Oryctolagus cuniculus: one gene and its partners. The protein of the gene in region 3 purifies or fractionates together with the protein of the main gene of each other region. This does not show direct contact. Links are inferred from orthologs where the notes say so. Each region holds a gene or a part of one and is shown on either strand. Other genes may lie near its edges.

The links. Proteins that work in one complex are often made in the same cells at the same time.
Region 1: the proteins of POLR2L (region 3) and POLR3K purify together in Homo sapiens (affinity purification with mass spectrometry; 3 studies listed by BioGRID and IntAct, with this or other methods). This does not show direct contact. The link is inferred for Oryctolagus cuniculus from reciprocal best matches to the Homo sapiens genes POLR2L and POLR3K.
Region 2: the proteins of POLR2L (region 3) and POLR1E purify together in Homo sapiens (affinity purification with mass spectrometry; 3 studies listed by BioGRID and IntAct, with this or other methods). This does not show direct contact. The link is inferred for Oryctolagus cuniculus from reciprocal best matches to the Homo sapiens genes POLR2L and POLR1E.

The regions. Positions count from the first base shown.
Region 1 is NC_091450.1:34,569,046-34,574,940, reverse strand, and holds the start of POLR3K (DNA-directed RNA polymerase III subunit RPC10), read right to left. Parts: upstream 3,368-5,895; coding exon 3,257-3,367; intron 1,202-3,256; coding exon 1,114-1,201; intron 1-1,113. Other genes in the region: SNRNP25 (U11/U12 small nuclear ribonucleoprotein 25 kDa protein), read left to right, coding at 3,801-3,842, 4,563-4,653, 4,758-4,863, 5,287-5,361, 5,642-5,699. UniProt on the Homo sapiens protein: Core component of RNA polymerase III (Pol III) which synthesizes small non-coding RNAs using the four ribonucleoside triphosphates as substrates. Can mediate Pol I proofreading of the nascent RNA transcript.
Region 2 is NC_091432.1:200,289,009-200,294,891, reverse strand, and holds the start of POLR1E (DNA-directed RNA polymerase I subunit RPA49), read right to left. Parts: upstream 3,368-5,883; 5' UTR 3,246-3,367; coding exon 3,170-3,245; intron 2,682-3,169; coding exon 2,578-2,681; intron 1,348-2,577; coding exon 1,271-1,347; intron 1-1,270. UniProt on the Homo sapiens protein: Component of RNA polymerase I (Pol I), a DNA-dependent RNA polymerase which synthesizes ribosomal RNA precursors using the four ribonucleoside triphosphates as substrates.
Region 3 is NC_091432.1:352,359-357,056, reverse strand, and holds POLR2L (DNA-directed RNA polymerases I, II, and III subunit RPABC5), read left to right. Parts: upstream 1-1,977; 5' UTR 1,978-2,047; coding exon 2,048-2,142; intron 2,143-2,744; coding exon 2,745-2,853; 3' UTR 2,854-2,980; downstream 2,981-4,698. Other genes in the region: CD151 antigen, read right to left, coding at 4,147-4,206, 4,279-4,365, 4,471-4,629. UniProt on the Homo sapiens protein: DNA-dependent RNA polymerase catalyzes the transcription of DNA into RNA using the four ribonucleoside triphosphates as substrates.

The DNA.
Region 1 (5,895 bases), on a different chromosome or scaffold from region 3:
TTCGGATCGGCACAGCTCCAGCCGTTGAGGCCATCTGGGAAGTGAACCATCAGATGGAAGACCTCTCTCTCTCTGCCTCTCCTCTCTCTGTGTAACTCTGACTTTCAAATAAATAAATCCTTAAAAAAATCAATAAATAGATCATAAGGAAAAAAAGAGAGAGAGAGATTCAACCAGGAACAGGCACTGTGGTGCAGCTTGGGACAGGTGCACCCTGTATCACAGTGCCAGTCTGAGCCCAGCTACTGTACTTCTGAGCCAGTCCCTGCTAGTACACCCGGGAAGGAGTCTACGATGGCTCAAGTACTTGGGCTCCTGCCACCCACGTGGGAGACCAGATGGAGATTCCAGCTCTAGGTCTCAGCCTGGCCCAGCTCCAGCTATTGTGGCCATCTCCAGAGTGAACCAAAGCAGAAGAGCTCTCTCCCTCTCTCCTTCCAACTCTGCCTTTCAAATAAATAAAAGCTAAATCTGAAAAACACACTCAACCAAGGTCCCCAACTAGAGGTTGCCTTGAGAATATAACCCCTGCCTATGACTCCAAGACTTAAACCAAAACTTGGTGTAACAATTATAAAATAACAAATATTATAATTATAATATTTATTATAAAATAACAAATATTATTTTTGTTGCTTTATAATAACAATAATTATAATATCTTCCTTTTTTTTTTTTGACAGGCAGAGTGGACAGTGAGAGAAAGAGACAGAGAGAAAGGTCTTCCTTTTGCCGTTGGTTCACCCTCCAATGGCCGCCGCGCTGCGGCCGGCGCACCGCGCTGATCCGAAGGCAGGAGCCAGGTGCTTCTCCTGGTCTCCCATGGGGTGCAGGGCCCAAGCACTTGGGCCATCCTCCACTGCCCTCCCGGGCCACAGCAGAGAGCTGGCCTGGAAGAGGAGCAACCAGGACAGAATCCGGTGCCCCGACCGGGACTAGAACCCGGGGTGCCGGCGCCGCAGGCGAAGGATTAGCCTAGTGAGCCGCGGCACCGGCCGAAGGCAATATCTTCCATTCTGAGGTGCTTACATCATCCAAGTGATCAGATGAGACAGGGCACAGTTAGCAACCTCAGGCCACTCCCAGCTCGGAGTCAGAAAAGGTTCCCCTCACCTGCAGTGGAGTCAACATTCTCCCAGGCGGCCGCTCCCCCAAGCACGTCGTCCACTTCTTTCAGCTTCGGATACTTCCGGTTTGTGACCTAACAGAAACAAGTCCTCAGCCTCCAAGCAAGGGGACAGGACCACCAGGGCAGAGAATGGAGGGAGCCCAGCAGACGCACAGCCGTGAGGAGGAGGGGAAGTGACAGGCGCTAACCATGTGTGCGCGAGAGTGCGCGGCTGGCCGGCTGGGCACCCCGGGGCTCCAGGTGCGTGCCAGGCCAGTGCGGGCGGCTGGCCGGCTGGGCACCCCGGGGGCTCCAGGTGGGTGCCAGGCCAGTGCGCGCGACTCGCCGGCTGGACACCCCGGGGCTCCAGGTGCACGGCAGACCAGTGCGGGCGGCTCGCCGGCTGGACACCCCGGGGCTCCAGGTGCACGGCAGACCAGTGCGGGCGGCTCGCCGGCTGGACACCCCGGGGCTCCAGGTGCACGGCAGACCAGTGCGGGCGGCTCGCCGGCTGGACACCCCGGGGCTCCAGGTGCGTGCCAGGCCAGTGCGGGCGGCTGGCCGACTGGACACCCCGGGGCTCCAGGTGCGTGCCAGGCCAGTGCGGGCGGCTCGCCGGCTGGACACCCCGGGGCTCCAGGTGCAGGGCAGACCAGTGCGCGCGGCTCGCCAACTGGACACCCCGGGGCTCCAGGTGCACGGCAGACCAGTGCGGGCGGCTCGCCGGCTGGACACCCCGGGGCTCCAGGTGGGTGCCAGGCCAGTGCGGGCGGCTCGCCGGCTGGGCACCCCGGGGCTCCAGGTGCAGGGCAGACCAGTGCGCGCGGCTGGCCGGCTGGACACCCCGGGGCTCCAGGTGGGTGCCAGGCCAGTGCGGGCGGCTCGCCGGCTGGACACCCCGGGGCTCCAGGTGGGTGCCAGGCCAGTGCGGGCGGCTCGCCAGTTGGACACCCTGGGGCTCCAGGTGCGTGCCAGGCCAGTGCGCGCGGCTCGCCGGCTGGGCACCCCGGGGCTCCAGGTGCACACCAGACCAGTGCGCGCGGCTCGCCAGCTGGACACCCCGGGGCTTCAGGTGCACGGCAGACCAGTGCGGGCGGCTGGCCGGCTGGACACCCGGGGGCTCCAGGTGGGTGCCAGGCCAGTGCGGGCGGCTCGCCGGCTGGACACCCCGGGGCTCCAGGTGCAGGGCAGACCAGTGCGCGCGGCTCGCCAACTGGACACCCCGGGGCTCCAGGTGCACGGCAGACCAGTGCGGGCGGCTCGCCGGCTGGACACCCCGGGGCTCCAGGTGGGTGCCAGGCCAGTGCGGGCGGCTCGCCGGCTGGGCACCCCGGGGCTCCAGGTGCAGGGCAGACCAGTGCGCGCGGCTGGCCGGCTGGACACCCCGGGGCTCCAGGTGGGTGCCAGGCCAGTGCGGGCGGCTCGCCGGCTGGACACCCCGGGGCTCCAGGTGGGTGCCAGGCCAGTGCGGGCGGCTCGCCAGTTGGACACCCTGGGGCTCCAGGTGCGTGCCAGGCCAGTGCGCGCGGCTCGCCGGCTGGGCACCCCGGGGCTCCAGGTGCACACCAGACCAGTGCGCGCGGCTCGCCAGCTGGACACCCCGGGGCTTCAGGTGCACGGCAGACCAGTGCGGGCGGCTGGCCGGCTGGACACCCCGGGGCTCCAGGTGGGTGCCAGGCCAGTGCGGGCGGCTGGCCGGCTGGACACCCCGGGGCTCCAGGTGGGTGCCAGGCCAGTGCGCGCGGCTCGCCGGCTGGACACCCCGGGGCTCCAGGTGCGAGCCAGGCGGCCGGACAAACACAGGGAAGGAGGCCTGCCGAGGCCTTCTGCCCTGGACCGCGCTCGGACCACAAGGCAGCAGAAGGGACCGAGGGGGGCGGGAGCACTCCAGGGAGCGCGAGTAAACGGAGGCCGCCCGAGGAACGCCGGGCGCCACGCGGGACGCGGAGCGGCACCGAGGGCGGCCGCGGCCGGAGCTGGAGCCGCCGCCCTGCCCCGACCAGGCGACTCCGAAACCAGCCCCAGAAGGGAGGCGGCGGCCGGGCCAGGCGAGAGGCGCCGGCGTGCGCGCGTCTTGGACAGATGCGCCCACAGGCCAGGGACGCGAGGCCGGGGCCGCCGGAGGCCGACCCTAACGTCGAGGCCCACCTTGCGGGTGATGTTGTGCACGTAGGGGCAGGTGTTGCAGGCGAAGCGGTGGCAGCGCTGGCCCTCCTCCACGATCAGCCCGTTCCCGCAGCCGGGGCAGAACAGCAGCATGGCGGCGCCCTGGCCCGCGCGCCCCCACGGCCGGAAGCTCCCTGGCCGCGCGACGCCGACACCCCGCCCACCTCGACCTCACGTTGGTCCCGGCGGCCCCCGCCGCTAGCCCACCAATAGACACGCCGACCCTCGCTCCCAGCCGGCCCTGCGGCAAGCCGCCTCGCACTCCCATTGGTTGGGGCGCCCGCCCCGCCCCTTGGCCCGCCGGTGGTTGGACGTCCTCACGGAGGTGGGCCCAGTCCGCGTCCGTGCTCCGCCTCCCGAGCGTGGAGTGGCTGGGCCGGCGGCCGGCGGCTCCGGGCTGGCGACCGTGGAGGCAGCGGAGCAGGCCGAGGAGGCCGAGGGGCCCGAGGTGCCGGAGGAGGATGAGGACGAAGAGGAGACGCTGCCTCACTCGGAAGCGGTGGACGTGTTCCAGGAGGGTCTCGCCATGGTGGTGCAGGACCCGCTGCTCTGCGACCTGCCGATCCAGGTGCGCGCGGCCAGAGCGGCCACCTGCCGCCGGAGAGGTGCTGATGGGGGACTGCGGCCGGCCTGGTCCGGGCCCGGCGTGAAGGGGCAGGGGAAACGGTGCCAAACTTGATGCAGAAGGTTGTCGGTAAAGGACAGTTGAAGAATGGGAGCTCCGGCTGCTCCGCTCCCTTCCGGCTCCCTGCCAGCGCTCCTCGGGGAGCGGCGGAGGGCGGCCCAGTGCCTGGGGCCCGGTGAGGCTCCCGGCCCCTGGCTTCGGCGTGGCCTAGCCCTGGGTGCTGGGGCCGTTTGCGGATGGAAGACTCGTGTTTCTCTCCCCTCTCCTTCCTCCCCGCCCCGCCCCCGTCAAATAAGTAGATGCAGAGGCGAATTTCCTCTAAGAAAAGTGTTATACTGCAGTCTTATCACTGCCGTGTGTTCCTGCCTTGTGTATTTTGCACACATGCCTCCCACTTAGTCCAGGGCTCTGGCCTGGATCCTGGTGACCAGGGGCTCTTGGGCAAACTGAAAGGCCCAGCGTCTCCCTCCTCCCCCCCCAGCAGCCCCTGGGGGCTCACTCTCCCTGCTTCCACAGCCATTCGGCATGAAATAGAGAAGTCGGGTGGAACCTGAGACTGAGGTGCTAAAGGGAGCCCCTCCCCCGGCCCTCCATAAAGTTTGGTTCCGTTTGGGCTGATAAACAAAGCCAGGGTTCCCACTGCCCCTGCTTGGCGCTTTCTAGGTGACTTTGGAAGAGATCAACTCCCAGATTGCACTAGAATACGGCCAAGCGATGACGGTCCGAGTGTCCAAGATGGACGGAGAAGTCATGCGTGAGTGCCGCTCTCCGCTTCAGATGGTAGCGGGCCTGGCCGTCGGGAAACCCGCAGGCGGAAGCCAGGGCTGTGAATCCCCACCCCACGTCTTCTCCCTGCAGCTGTGGTCGTGGTGCAGAACGCCACGGTCCTGGACCTGAAGAAGGCCATCCAGAGATACGTGCAGCTCAAGCAGGAGCGAGAAGGGGGCATTCAGCACATCAGCTGGTGAGTGGGACAGCAGCCCCGTCACGGCCCGTCACAGGGGCCTGCAGGAAAGCTCCCTCCGCTGCTCTTACACGTCTCTCGTCATGTCACCCAGCTGAGCTGCTGATACCTTCACTTGGGGACACTTAGGACACTAGTGTGTCCAGAAGTGGCCTCCCCAGTGTCGGCTGGAGCACCGTCCATGGCCTACGCTGGTGACAGCTGGAGCACCATCCGTGGCCCTGTCCCTTCCTCAGACACTGCTGGCCTCGCTGTCCTGCTGAGTCGCGTGTCCTCACAGCAGCTCAGCACTGCCGTCTGTCTCCTTCGCGAGGTGTGCGGGGCCCAGCTGCCCCTCTGCCCCTCTGGCAGGCCCCACGGCACTGTCCCCCCGAGCTGCCGCGCTCGGCCTGCTCGGGAGTTTACCTGAGGCCCCCCGTGCAGGTCCTACGTGTGGAGGACGTACCACCTGACCTCTGCGGGAGAGAAGCTCACAGAGGACAGGAAGAAGCTCCGCGAGTAAGTCCAGGGAGGGGTCACGTGGTCTGCTGCCTCCGCGGGGCTCAGGAGATGGCAGGCAGCGGAGCAGAGCATGGGCACTGCTGGTTCTCTCCAGCCGTGGCTCAGGGCTGCACAGCTCGGGGCGACGCGTGCAAGTGAACCGCGGCCGGCTGCTCCTCTCGGGCCTGCGGGCGGGCGCGCACGCCTCACCTGTGGCTCACTCGGGGTCTCCCACACCCCTGCGGTGGGGACTTACACACCCACCTGCAGTCAGACACTGCGCCTTTTGTCCTTTCAGTTACGGGATCCGCAATCGGGACGAGGTTTCCTTCATCAAAAAGCTGAGGCAGAAGTGAGCCTCCAGACAAGACAGCCCTGCACCAGTGGCCAGGCTCCTCCTGGGCTGTGCCCCTTCACAGAACGGCTGTTGACGCAGCCTGGCCGTGCCCAGCACGAGCTGTCAGGACTGAGCAGCACGGGGTGGGGCTGGTTCTCCCCGGGAGCATGACCTGAGCCTGTTTTTACCCGAGGGTAAGCACCCGAGCCACCAGC
Region 2 (5,883 bases), about 200 Mb from region 3:
GGCCCAGAGCGTCTTGCTAAGGCGATGAGGCAGTGTGGGCCGTTTAGAGCACATTTACACCAGTCTGCTTTCTATCGGGAACCCCTTCCATGCGGTCACTGCTGGGGACCACCACAGGGACCCTGCCTGCACTGTGCCGTCCCTGAGAGCTACAGACGCTCAGGCAGGACAGAGCAGAAGGCTGGGGGTCAGTGAAGGGCACAGCTGCCCAAAATCCTGCCATCAGCAAGGACTCGATGGAGACCCCAGGTTCCTCTTTCCCAGCCGACAGCCTCTGTCTCTACCAAATCCTTCTTCTGTATTTAGTGCCCAGGCCAGCATCAGGTAAGGTTCCACCCATTCTTGATCAGACATTCCAAATTAGAGAAGAGAACTGCCCTGGGGTGTGAGATGGTTACAAATGGGAGCAGTGCTGTGGCACAGTGGGTAAAGCCGCCATCCGCAGCAGCGCCATCCACATCATGCCAGTTCGAGCCCTGGCTGCTCCACTTCTGATCAAGCTCCCTGCTAATGGCCTGGGAAAGCAGTGGAGGATGGCTCAAGTGCTTGGGCCCCTGCACTCACCTGGGACACCCCAAAGAAGCGCCAGGCTCCTGGCTTTGACCTGGCCCAGCCCTGGCTGTTGAGGTCATTCAGGGAGTGAACTAGCAAATGGAAGATATCTCTCTCTCTCTCTCTCTCTCTCTTTTAAAAGATTTTATTTATTTATCTGAAAGAGTTACACAGAGAGAGGAGAGGCAGAGAGAGAGGTCTTCCATCTGATGGTTCACTCCCCAATTGGCCACAATAGCCGGAGCTGCGCTGATCGAAAGCCAGGAGTCAGGAGCTTCTTTCAGGTCTCCCATGCGGATGCAGGGCCCAAGGACTTGGGCCAACTTCTACTGCTTTCCCAGCCACAGCAGAGAGCTGGATCAGAAGTAGAGCAGCCAGGACTCGAATCGGCGCCCATATGGGATGCCAGCACTGCAGGCGGCAGCTTTACCCCCTATGCCACAAGCGCAGGCCTCTCTCCCCATCCCCTGTAATTTTGACTTTCAAATAAGTAAATGAATAAATCTTTTAAAAAAAGTTATAAATAAACAATGCGACAAATGCATATTTTAGGAAAACTCAGCAAATATAAATCATGCATTCGTTCCAAGAGAGCCCCAGGTACAAGCACACAGGCACCTGGCAAACCTCAATTTCTCCCACTGCCCCTAAAATAGACTAAAAACAGCAGTGTCAGTGCCGCACCACACCCTTCCCATCATCCTCCCCACACCATTACCTGCACAGAGTGTTACACTTGAGGGCTCCAGTCCCAAAATTGTTTCCCACGTAGGAAAGTCTCTCTGTTTCAGCTGCCTAAAACACAGGAGAAACCCCATTCATGACCAAGGCTGAGAGGCAGTGAGCATCTTGCCTCATTCTCACATCTGCCAAAGCTTTTAACCCAGAACCACAGTGGCTGAGATGATCCAGCCCCCCCGCCCCCAGCTCCAAGGTAATCTGGGGAAGTCCTGGGGAAAGGCAAGAGGGCTTTAGAAGCGGAAGCCACGGACAGCATCAGCTTCTAACGGGTATGAGACGTTCCTGGGGGCCTGCACCACAGGACAGGACGTAAGCAAGAGGCTCTAAATTTAAACTTGGCCTTCGAGCCCTGGGGAAGACACATTTGTCATGGCAGAAGAGACAGCCCATGCTCCACCTGCACCGCGCTGAGCGGGAGGAAGCCTTACGGGAAAGTTATGCGGCAGTGGCAGGACCTTCTGGCCCAGCCAGTAGGGGCTCTGGGCCAACCAGGCTCTGCATCCTCAGGGTAGCTGTCAAGAAGGGGGCGTGGTGACGGATGAGAAGGTTGCACTTGCCAGTGTGCAACCAAGCGATTCTGCAGGCTACCTCCTCGCCCAGAGTCTAAGCCCGCCTTGATCCTCTGCGCCCACCTCCCCCATGCCTGCTCTTTCTAAACCCTCAGGACCACAGCCACAGCTGACTCGCTCCCTGTAACCGCCAAGCCTTCCTGCTTCCGTTTTTGTCCTTGTTATCTGCTTCACATGGAACCCCAAATCTTGGCTGCCAAACCTTCCCTCCCCTTTCAGGGCTCAGCACTGAAGCACCCACCCCCAGAAGGGGCTTCTGGCAAGCCACTGAGCTCACTCCGCCCTGCACCCTCCCCACCGGGCCCAGAGCTCTGTCTAATGGATGCGTGTCCCGGCAGCCACTCCACACCTCTCTAGGGCACCATCCTGAGGCACAGGACTGCCAGCCACAGCCAGGCATGGCCTATCGGTGTACAGAGGCACCGAAGCCCTGCTCCACAGCACCAGTGGCGCCAGGTCGGAGGGGGCTGTTTCCCTAACTCACCGCACAGGGATGCAGTGCCTGTTCAATAACACATGCTGACAGGACACGTGAATGCACGCCCACCACGCCACCGGAAGTCCCAGAGCTGCGTGGAGCCTGTCCCCACGCCGCAAGCTGCTGGAGCCGGAGCTTTTCCAAAGGCCCCTAGCCATTTTCTCCTCTCCCATCCACCCACACCCCAGGGGCCTCCTAAGGCAGGCAGAGCGGGGCACTGGCAGCCGCAGCGCTTACCAGGATCCGCTGACTCCTCTTCCTGGGGTTTGCGGAGTCGCTGCTCTGGTACAAGGTGAAGCGCATGTTGCCCGGGTTCTGCAGCTTCCCGTTGGAGAATTGGACTGTAAGAGGACCGCCCGACAATGACCACGGTGCATGGTGGGAGGGAGCTACGGCTGGATGGGGCTGGCAAAGAAACGCGGGTAGCGTCCATCCGTCCAAGAAGAGGGGACAGGCTGGCGGGGCGAGCGGGGCGGGGGGCGGAGGCAGCTGAGACAAGAGGAAACGGCGGCGGGGATGAGGCTGACCCAGGGGCCTGGTCCAGACCTGGGGAGGGAGAATCCGCGCCCAGCGGAGAGAGGGAAAGGGGGCAGGTGGGAGACCTGGCGGGGGAGGGGAGGGCAGCGTCCCGGGCACCGCCCTGGGGAGGGGGCGATGGAGATGTCCTCATGCAGCTGGGAAGTACCGACAGAAAGGTTGCGGGATGCCCCTTGCCGAGTCCCAGGCAGCGGTGGAGACGCCAGGGGGCCCTGACGCATTGGGCGGGAAGGGAGACCTGGAGAGGTACCGAGACGGAAGGGGAGCCCCGCTCCAGCGCCGCAGTCCTCACCCAGTACAGCTTTCTGGCTCTCGTCGGGCTCCCCACAGTACAGCCACGTCGCACTCGGCAACACATCTGCGGCCATCCCGTCCGTCAGGCCGTCAAACCCAGGAGTTTCCACAACTGCCGACTCTGCAGCGACGGTCCTCACGCGGCTGCCGGGCTGAGCGGCGAACCGGAAGGGGCGTGGCCTCAGGGCACCGGCCGAGTACGCAGCCGTGCGTGGCACGCCCCCTGGAGGAGCCGCGTGAGCCCCGCCCGCCGTTAGCTCCGCCCCTTCTCATCCGTCACCACGCCCCCTTCTTGACAGCTACCCTGAGGATGCAGAGCCTGGTTGGCCCAGCGCTCCTTCTGGCTGGGCCAGAAGATCTTGCCACTGCCGCATAACTTTCCCGTAAGGCGGTGCAGGTGGAGCATGGGCTGTCTCTTCTACCATGACAAATGTGTCTTCCCCAGGGCTCGAAGGCCAAGTTTAAATTTAGAATCATCTGACAGGAATTTTTTGAGCCTCGGCTAAATGTGGCAGCTGACAGAGGGCCACCCCAACTCTGAGGTGAGGTGTCCCATACAAGACACGTGGCCGTGCAGCCCTTGAGACCAAGCATTGTCCAGAGCCCGGCAAGCATCTCGCTGCCTGGGTCTCACCTCAAAGCCAGATGTTCACCTGTGGCCTCTCAGCCTTGGGAGGATGGGCTGGGGGGAAAGGCCCACCAGGCTCAGGGCATTGGGGCAGAGGATTCTGGAGTGGTCTAGAAGGTGTAGTTTGTTTTTGTTTTTGTTTTTAAGATTTCTTATTTATTTGAAAGTCAGAGTTACACAGAGAGAGGAGAGGCAGAGAGAGGTCTTCCATCCAATGGTTCACTCCCCAGATGGCTGCAACGGAGGGAGCTGCATCAATCAGAAGCCAGGAGCTTCTTCCGGGTCTCCCATGCGGGTGCAGGGGCCCAAGGACTTGGGCCATCTTCTACTGCTTTCCCAGGCCACAGCAGAGAGCTGGATCGGAAGAGGAGCAGCCGGGACTAGAACCAGTGCCCATATGATGCTGGTGCTTCAGGCCAGGGCATTAACCTGCTGCTCCACAGCGCCGGCCCCTAGAAGGTATAGTCTTTTCTAGCTGATGAATGTGTCCCTTTGTCCCTGTGGATTCAAACCTTTAAAGTCTCCTAACTGCCTTCTTTAAAGACAGCCTCATCCTGACCATGACACCCAGAGTCCTCCAAATAATCTTTACACCTGCACCCCCTTTCCTGAGCACTCATTACATTTTTCTCATTGCCCAATCTCAAACTTACAGAAACATTGCAAGTACCGTGCAAAATACTTTCTTTGGCCCTGAGCCATTTAGAGCAAGTTGCCTGCCTGGTATCCCTCTACCCCTGAAGACTATAGTATTTCCTACAGGAAAAGGACAAGGACAAGGACAAGGTCGCTCTCTAAATAACTACAGTACAACTATCAAAATCAGGAAATGAACATTGTTATGTCCCTGCTATATAATCCGCACACCCCTTTTAAGTTCTCCAATTGTCTTAATGCTGTGTTTGCTTTTATTAGGAAGGAACAGAGAAACAGAGACAGAGAGAATCTCCCATATTGGAATGCTTTGCCCAAATGCTTTGCAATATCTAGCTAGGAGCTGGAAAAACAATCCAGGTCTCTCATGTGGTAAGGACCCAAGTACTTGAACCATTACCTACTGCATCCCAGGATGAGCAATAGCAGGAAGCTGGATTCAGAAGCAGAGCCAGGACTCAAACCCAGGCACTCCTATGTGGGATACACGCATCCTAGGCAGAGTCTTAAACACTAGTCCCCTCCTCTGTCTTAATTTTTTTTTTAAGATTTATTTACTTATTTGAAAGGTAGAGTTATTGAGCGAGAAAGAGACACAGAGAGAATGAGCTTCCATCGACTGGTTCACTCCCCAAATGGCTGCAACAAACAGGACTGAGCCAGGACAAAGCCAAGAGCCAGAAGCTTCTTCCAGGTCTCCCACATGGCTGCATCTTGGACCATCCCCTTAGCAGGAGCTGGATCGGAAGTAGAACAGTTGGAACTTGAACCAGCACCTGTATGGGATGCCAGTGTCACAGGCGGTGGCTTTACCTACTACGCCACAGTGCGAGCCTCAGACTGATTCTCTTTTAAGGCACATCTCTGCCAGTCAGACAAATCTGTTGGGAGTCCTCAGGATGGGCTGCTATGCGGCTGGGCAGAGGAGTCAGAGTCGCACATGTCTACAAAATGCAGACACTGCCAGAATTCCCACAAGCAAGAGTGCAATGTCATGGAGATTGTAACTGGGGAAGGAAAGTGTTAATAGTAGGGCAGCTGGCACCCACATGGGAGACCTGGATGGATGGAGCTCCAGGCTCCTGGCTTCTGCCTGGCTTGGTCCTGGCCATTGCAGCCATTTGGCAGCAGATGGAAGGTGTGTGTGCGTGTAATTCTGCCTTTCAAATAAATAAATCTTCAAAAAAAAAAAAATAGAGCAGCTGAGAATGTGGTATACTCCTATGTTGCTTAATTATTACAGTGGTTCAAAACACATACATACACATACTACACACACACACACACACACACACACACACATTATATCACTGGGATGGGGCAGGCCAGGGGAGCCTTATGTAGGCAGCAACCAATGCCAGCATCCACAGTGGCTTCTTCTAGATTGGAGGCTGAGTTGGACACAGGCAGAATTCATCGCAGCGTGCTTG
Region 3 (4,698 bases):
TGGAGGCTGAGACGGCTCTGCCACCGCCTGTCCCACGGGAGGCCAGCTCCTGGCTCAGCACCCTGGATCACACGGGAGTGGGGGAAGGGCGGGCCTGCCCCCCCACGCCTCCTGGCCCGGGCAGCTCACTCCCATCTGCAGACGCCACAGCGCAGGGCTGTGAGGGCTGCGAGGGGCTCTCAGCGGCAGCACGTGTGAGCTGTCCACACCCGTGTTCCTGGCCCCGTGCGGGCGGCATGCACACAGCACACGCCAGCAGGCAGGAGTAGGGGTGGAGGCCGGGGTCCCGGCACGAGCGTCCCCACCCTGCTCAGCCAAAGTCTTACAGACGGGGAAACTGAGGCTGCGTCCTGGGGACGAGGGGCAGGGTCTGCGAATCCCGCCCGCCCCCCCCCCCCCCCCCCCCCCGCGCACTGCCCCTGGCTGCCCAGCACCCACCGCGGCCCTGCCGCTGGCCTGTTTCCAGGGCAACGCCCGGGGGGCGGGGCTTGGCAGCTGAAACCTGTCACGAGTTTCCCGGTCCCCTGCCCTGACGTGACCCCCCCTCCTCTGGCCAGCACCACCAGGAAAGCCCCCCACCCTCCCCAGAGAGGCCCAGCTGCTGCCCCCCACGCCACCACGGGCCAGGCCAGGGCTGACCCCTCGAGGCTCCCCAGCAGGCGCAAGTGCAGAGGGGGCGGGGCGCGCTGGGGGACATCCGGGAGCCCCCCCACCTCAGGTCGGCACGCACGCGGAATCCCAGGAATGCCGCCTTGGCCAGGGCCCCCGCAGGGGAGGGCGGCTCACTCCCCCACTCCCACAGTAAACAGCGGCGCCCAGTGGGAGCAGGGGCGGGGCAGGCCCCTGACCCCTCCCCCAGGAAGGCCCCACTCACGCGCTGGGCGCCCACCGGGCTGGCCTCCCGGACCCGGGCTCCCTCTCCTCCACAGCCGCGGCCGCCGAGCCTGGGTCTGACCCCAGGCCACGGTGACTCACGGCCCCATCCTGCCCCTCTGGCCAGGGCAGGATGTGCGTCCACTCAGCCTGGGGGAGGGAGGCAGAGAAGGGAAGTGGCCAGGGCTCGTGGCTCCGCACGTGGCCGAGAGGGCACTAACCCTGGCAGGGCAGTGGCTCTGGGCAGCCCCACTCCGGACCTGAGACCCTTCGTCCCCGTCCCTGTCCAGCGTCTGCCCTGAGCGGGCACTCAGCAGATGCCGGGGTCCCGCGTGAGGACCCCGCCCCGGCCACACATCCAAGGCCAGCAAACCTGGCCAGAGCCCCGCGGGGGCCACGGGCAACACCCCCACAGCCCTGCGGCTCCCCAGCCCGCCTGGGGCAGCCGGGGCACCAGGCTCAGCCCGGTCCACCCGGGAGGCAGCAGCCCCGCCCGTGGAGCCCCTGAAGGGGACGCACAGCTGGGGCTGCCCCTACGCGGGGGCCCTGGCCTTCGAGGGTCAGCTCAAAGGGGCTGACCACACGCCCAGCGCCAGGCCCGGGAAAGAGCGAACAAGACGCCGACAGACTGCCGTCGGGGCTCCCAGCAACTCCCCGCGGGGACCCGAGCCTCGCGCAGGGCTCAAGGGACAGCGACCGGGTCCAGGCCGGGCCGGGCCGGGAGGCGGGAAGGTCCGTCCGAGGCCTCCCGCCCCGGGGCCAGACCCTCTCGCCGGGCCCCTCGCCCGGCCCCACTTGTTGCTGCGACCGGCCTGGGGCTCCGCACTGGAGGTGGCGCTCGCGCGCCGCGGCTGATGTCCGCGTCCGGGTCCAGCCGGCGCCCGCGTAGTACCTGGGCCGCCGCCTCCCGCCGCCGCACCGCGTCGTCCGCTCCCGCCGCGCAGCTGTCAGTCAAGCGGACACGAGAAACGCGAACCGGCGCCGCCGAGCCCTTTTGGCCGAGCCCAGTCGCCGTAGCGCGGCACGTACCAAACCGCCGGACGGGGGGCGCCGCCGGACGCGGCCTCCAATCGGCGCCGAGGAACCCCGCGCCAGTGGGCGCGCCCGGGGCGGGGCCTGCAGCGCCGCGGACGGGCCCGGCAGTGCGCGGGGCTGCCGCGGAGTGCGCGCCGCCATGATCATCCCGGTGCGCTGTTTCACGTGCGGCAAGATCGTCGGCAACAAGTGGGAGGCCTACCTGGGGCTGCTGCAGGCGGAGTACACCGAGGGGTGAGGCGCCGGGCGCGTGGGGCCCGGGGGCGGGGCGGGGCGGGGACCGGGCCCACCCGCGCCTCCTGTCCCGCGCCGCGGGCTGACGCGGGGCTGCGGCGGGGCGGAGGGGCAGGGGCTGCTTTGCCGAGGCCCCTCGGTCGCGCCTTCTCACTCCCAAGCCGCCTCCTCCGCCCCCCGGAGCCAGCGCTGCAGGAGTTTTCTGGAAGCGTCTCGTTGGTTTCCGGAAGTAGAAGGGTGGCTCCCTGAGAGTGGGGGTCCCGCGGGGCTGCGGTCGTGGTCGGGAGTCCCGGCCCCCGGGGGAGGGGGCGCCGGGGCTGCCCTGGCCACCGTGAGCCCAGCCTGGGAGAGGGCGGGCCGGGGCTGGGCCGGGAGGCTGGAGCCTCTGGGTGGGGAAGGGGTGGCCCTGGGTGGCTCCTCCCCGGTGCATCCTGGGGGGACCTGTCCACCTGGCCTGGAGCAGGGGCGAGCCCGGCTGTCTGGTCGCAGGGATGCTCCGGCCGCTGGGCCCGGGCTGGGCCGGGAGGCCGGAGCCCCCGGGTGGGAAGGGGCGCGCTGGGGGCGAGCCCGGCGCAGGCCGCCTCACTGCTGTCTGGTCGCAGGGACGCCCTGGACGCCCTGGGGCTGAAGCGCTACTGCTGCCGCCGAATGCTGCTGGCCCACGTGGACCTCATCGAGAAACTGCTCAACTACGCGCCCCTGGAGAAGTAGCGCCGCCCCGCCATGGCCCGCGGCGTCCTGCCCTGCGTCCTCGCGGCCGGGCTGTCAGACGCCGGGAGCAGAGGCGGGCCGCGCGCACGCATGTCGCCAGCCGCCCAGTAAAGTCCTTGCACAAACACCACTGGTCCCCTCCTTGGCCTCGCTCCGCCCCCCCCCCCCCAGTCCACCTGGCCCAGCTGTCTCGGGGTCCTGGTTCCTGCTCCCTGGTCCCCGCCCACCCAGCGTGGCTGCTCGTCCGAGCCTGCACTGCCTGCTGCGGTCAGCGGCTGCCCTTGCCTGGGTCCCCACCCTGTGGCCCTGTCGGGGTCGCACCAGCCCTGAGCGCCCTCAGGCTCCCGGGGGCCCTTCCCGGGCTGTCCCTGCGGGCCCAGGCTGAGGGCCAGGGAGCAGCTACTCCCAGCAACCCACACGGGGCCGAGCCCGCGGTCAGCTGGGGACGGGGACCAGGGCAGAGCAGGGCCATGGTGGCCGAGCCACTGCTGTCCCCAGGGTGTTGGCCGCATCGCAGAGCTGTCCCCGGCTCCTGGCAGGACCTGCAGGCCCCTCGTCTGCTCACTGCCTGTGCCACAGTGACCACAGTGGGCCCAGGGCCAGCTGGAGACGCCAGCACCCCTACGCTCAGGCGGAGCCCCTCACACCGGCCCCCAGCGGTGCCCCCGCCCAGCCTGCGAGCCGGGTCCACCCCTGCTAGCCTGCGCGTGCCTGAGGCAGGAGCTTCACTGTCCACTCCACGCACTTTATTAAGCCCGTCACGTGACAGACTGGGGTGCAGCAGGCCCCCGGCCCCACACAGGGACCTCCTGGGGGAGGGGGCAGAGGAGGGGGCTTGGGCTGGGCAGGCGCACTCCAGACCCAACACAGGCGTCCAAGGGTCCCCCAAGACTGTGGGAGGGGGCGCTGCTGGAGCCGCCCCCCCCCCCCCCCCGCAGAAAGCTGTACAGTGAAAGGCACTTGGCCGCCTCTGGGTGTGAGAGGCTGGCACGGGTGGGGGCAGAGGCGTGGCTTCCTCAGGGTCAGTAGTCTCCACTCCGCAGTGGGGTGCCGGAGCCCAGGCCCCCCAAGCAGAAAGCTGAGCAGCGAAAGGCACTGGGGTGTGGTGGGGGTCCGGGGCGTGGCTTCCTGTGGGTCAGTAGTGGGTGGCAGGGAGCCCAAGCCCCCAGACAGCCGAGCAGTGACGGGGCGTGGCCGGCGCGGTGGGGGTCCGGGTATGGGTGTGACGGGGGCGTGGCTTCCTCCGGCGTCAGTAGTGTCCACTCAGCAGCGAGGCGGGGAGGCCAGGCCCCCTCAGTAGTGCTCCAGCTTCAGGCTCCGGTACAGGCAGCAAGTGAAGAACATGCCGAAGACCTGCGGAGCCGGGCTGTGAGCGGGCGCCAGGGCCGCGGCCGCGTCCCCCACCACGGCCCGGCAGGCCCGCACCTGCACACACGCGATGCCCACGCCCACCGCGCCGATGACCCGCAGGTGCTCCTGGATGAAGGTCTCCAGCTTGGTGATGCAGCCGCCCTGGGGGTGGGGACAGGTGCTAGGGGCGGGGCCGGGGCCGGAGCCCCGCCCACCTCCACCTGGCAGACGGGGCGTGGTCCCGCTCGGCAATCCGGGCCCGCCTACCTCCACCTTGTAGATGTTGGAGGCGTGGTCCCGCTGCCCGCAGTTGGGCACCACGGTCTTGCAGCAGCTGTCAGGGACCACGCGGTCCCCGGCCTCGCTCGAGCGGATCCACTCGCTCTCCCGCCAGTCCCGCGAGCTGTTGCTGCCGCAGCAGTGGAACTGCAGGGCCGAGAGCAGGGTCGGCTGAGCCGCCACGCCCGCCCCGGCCACCAGGCCCCCCCTGGGCCC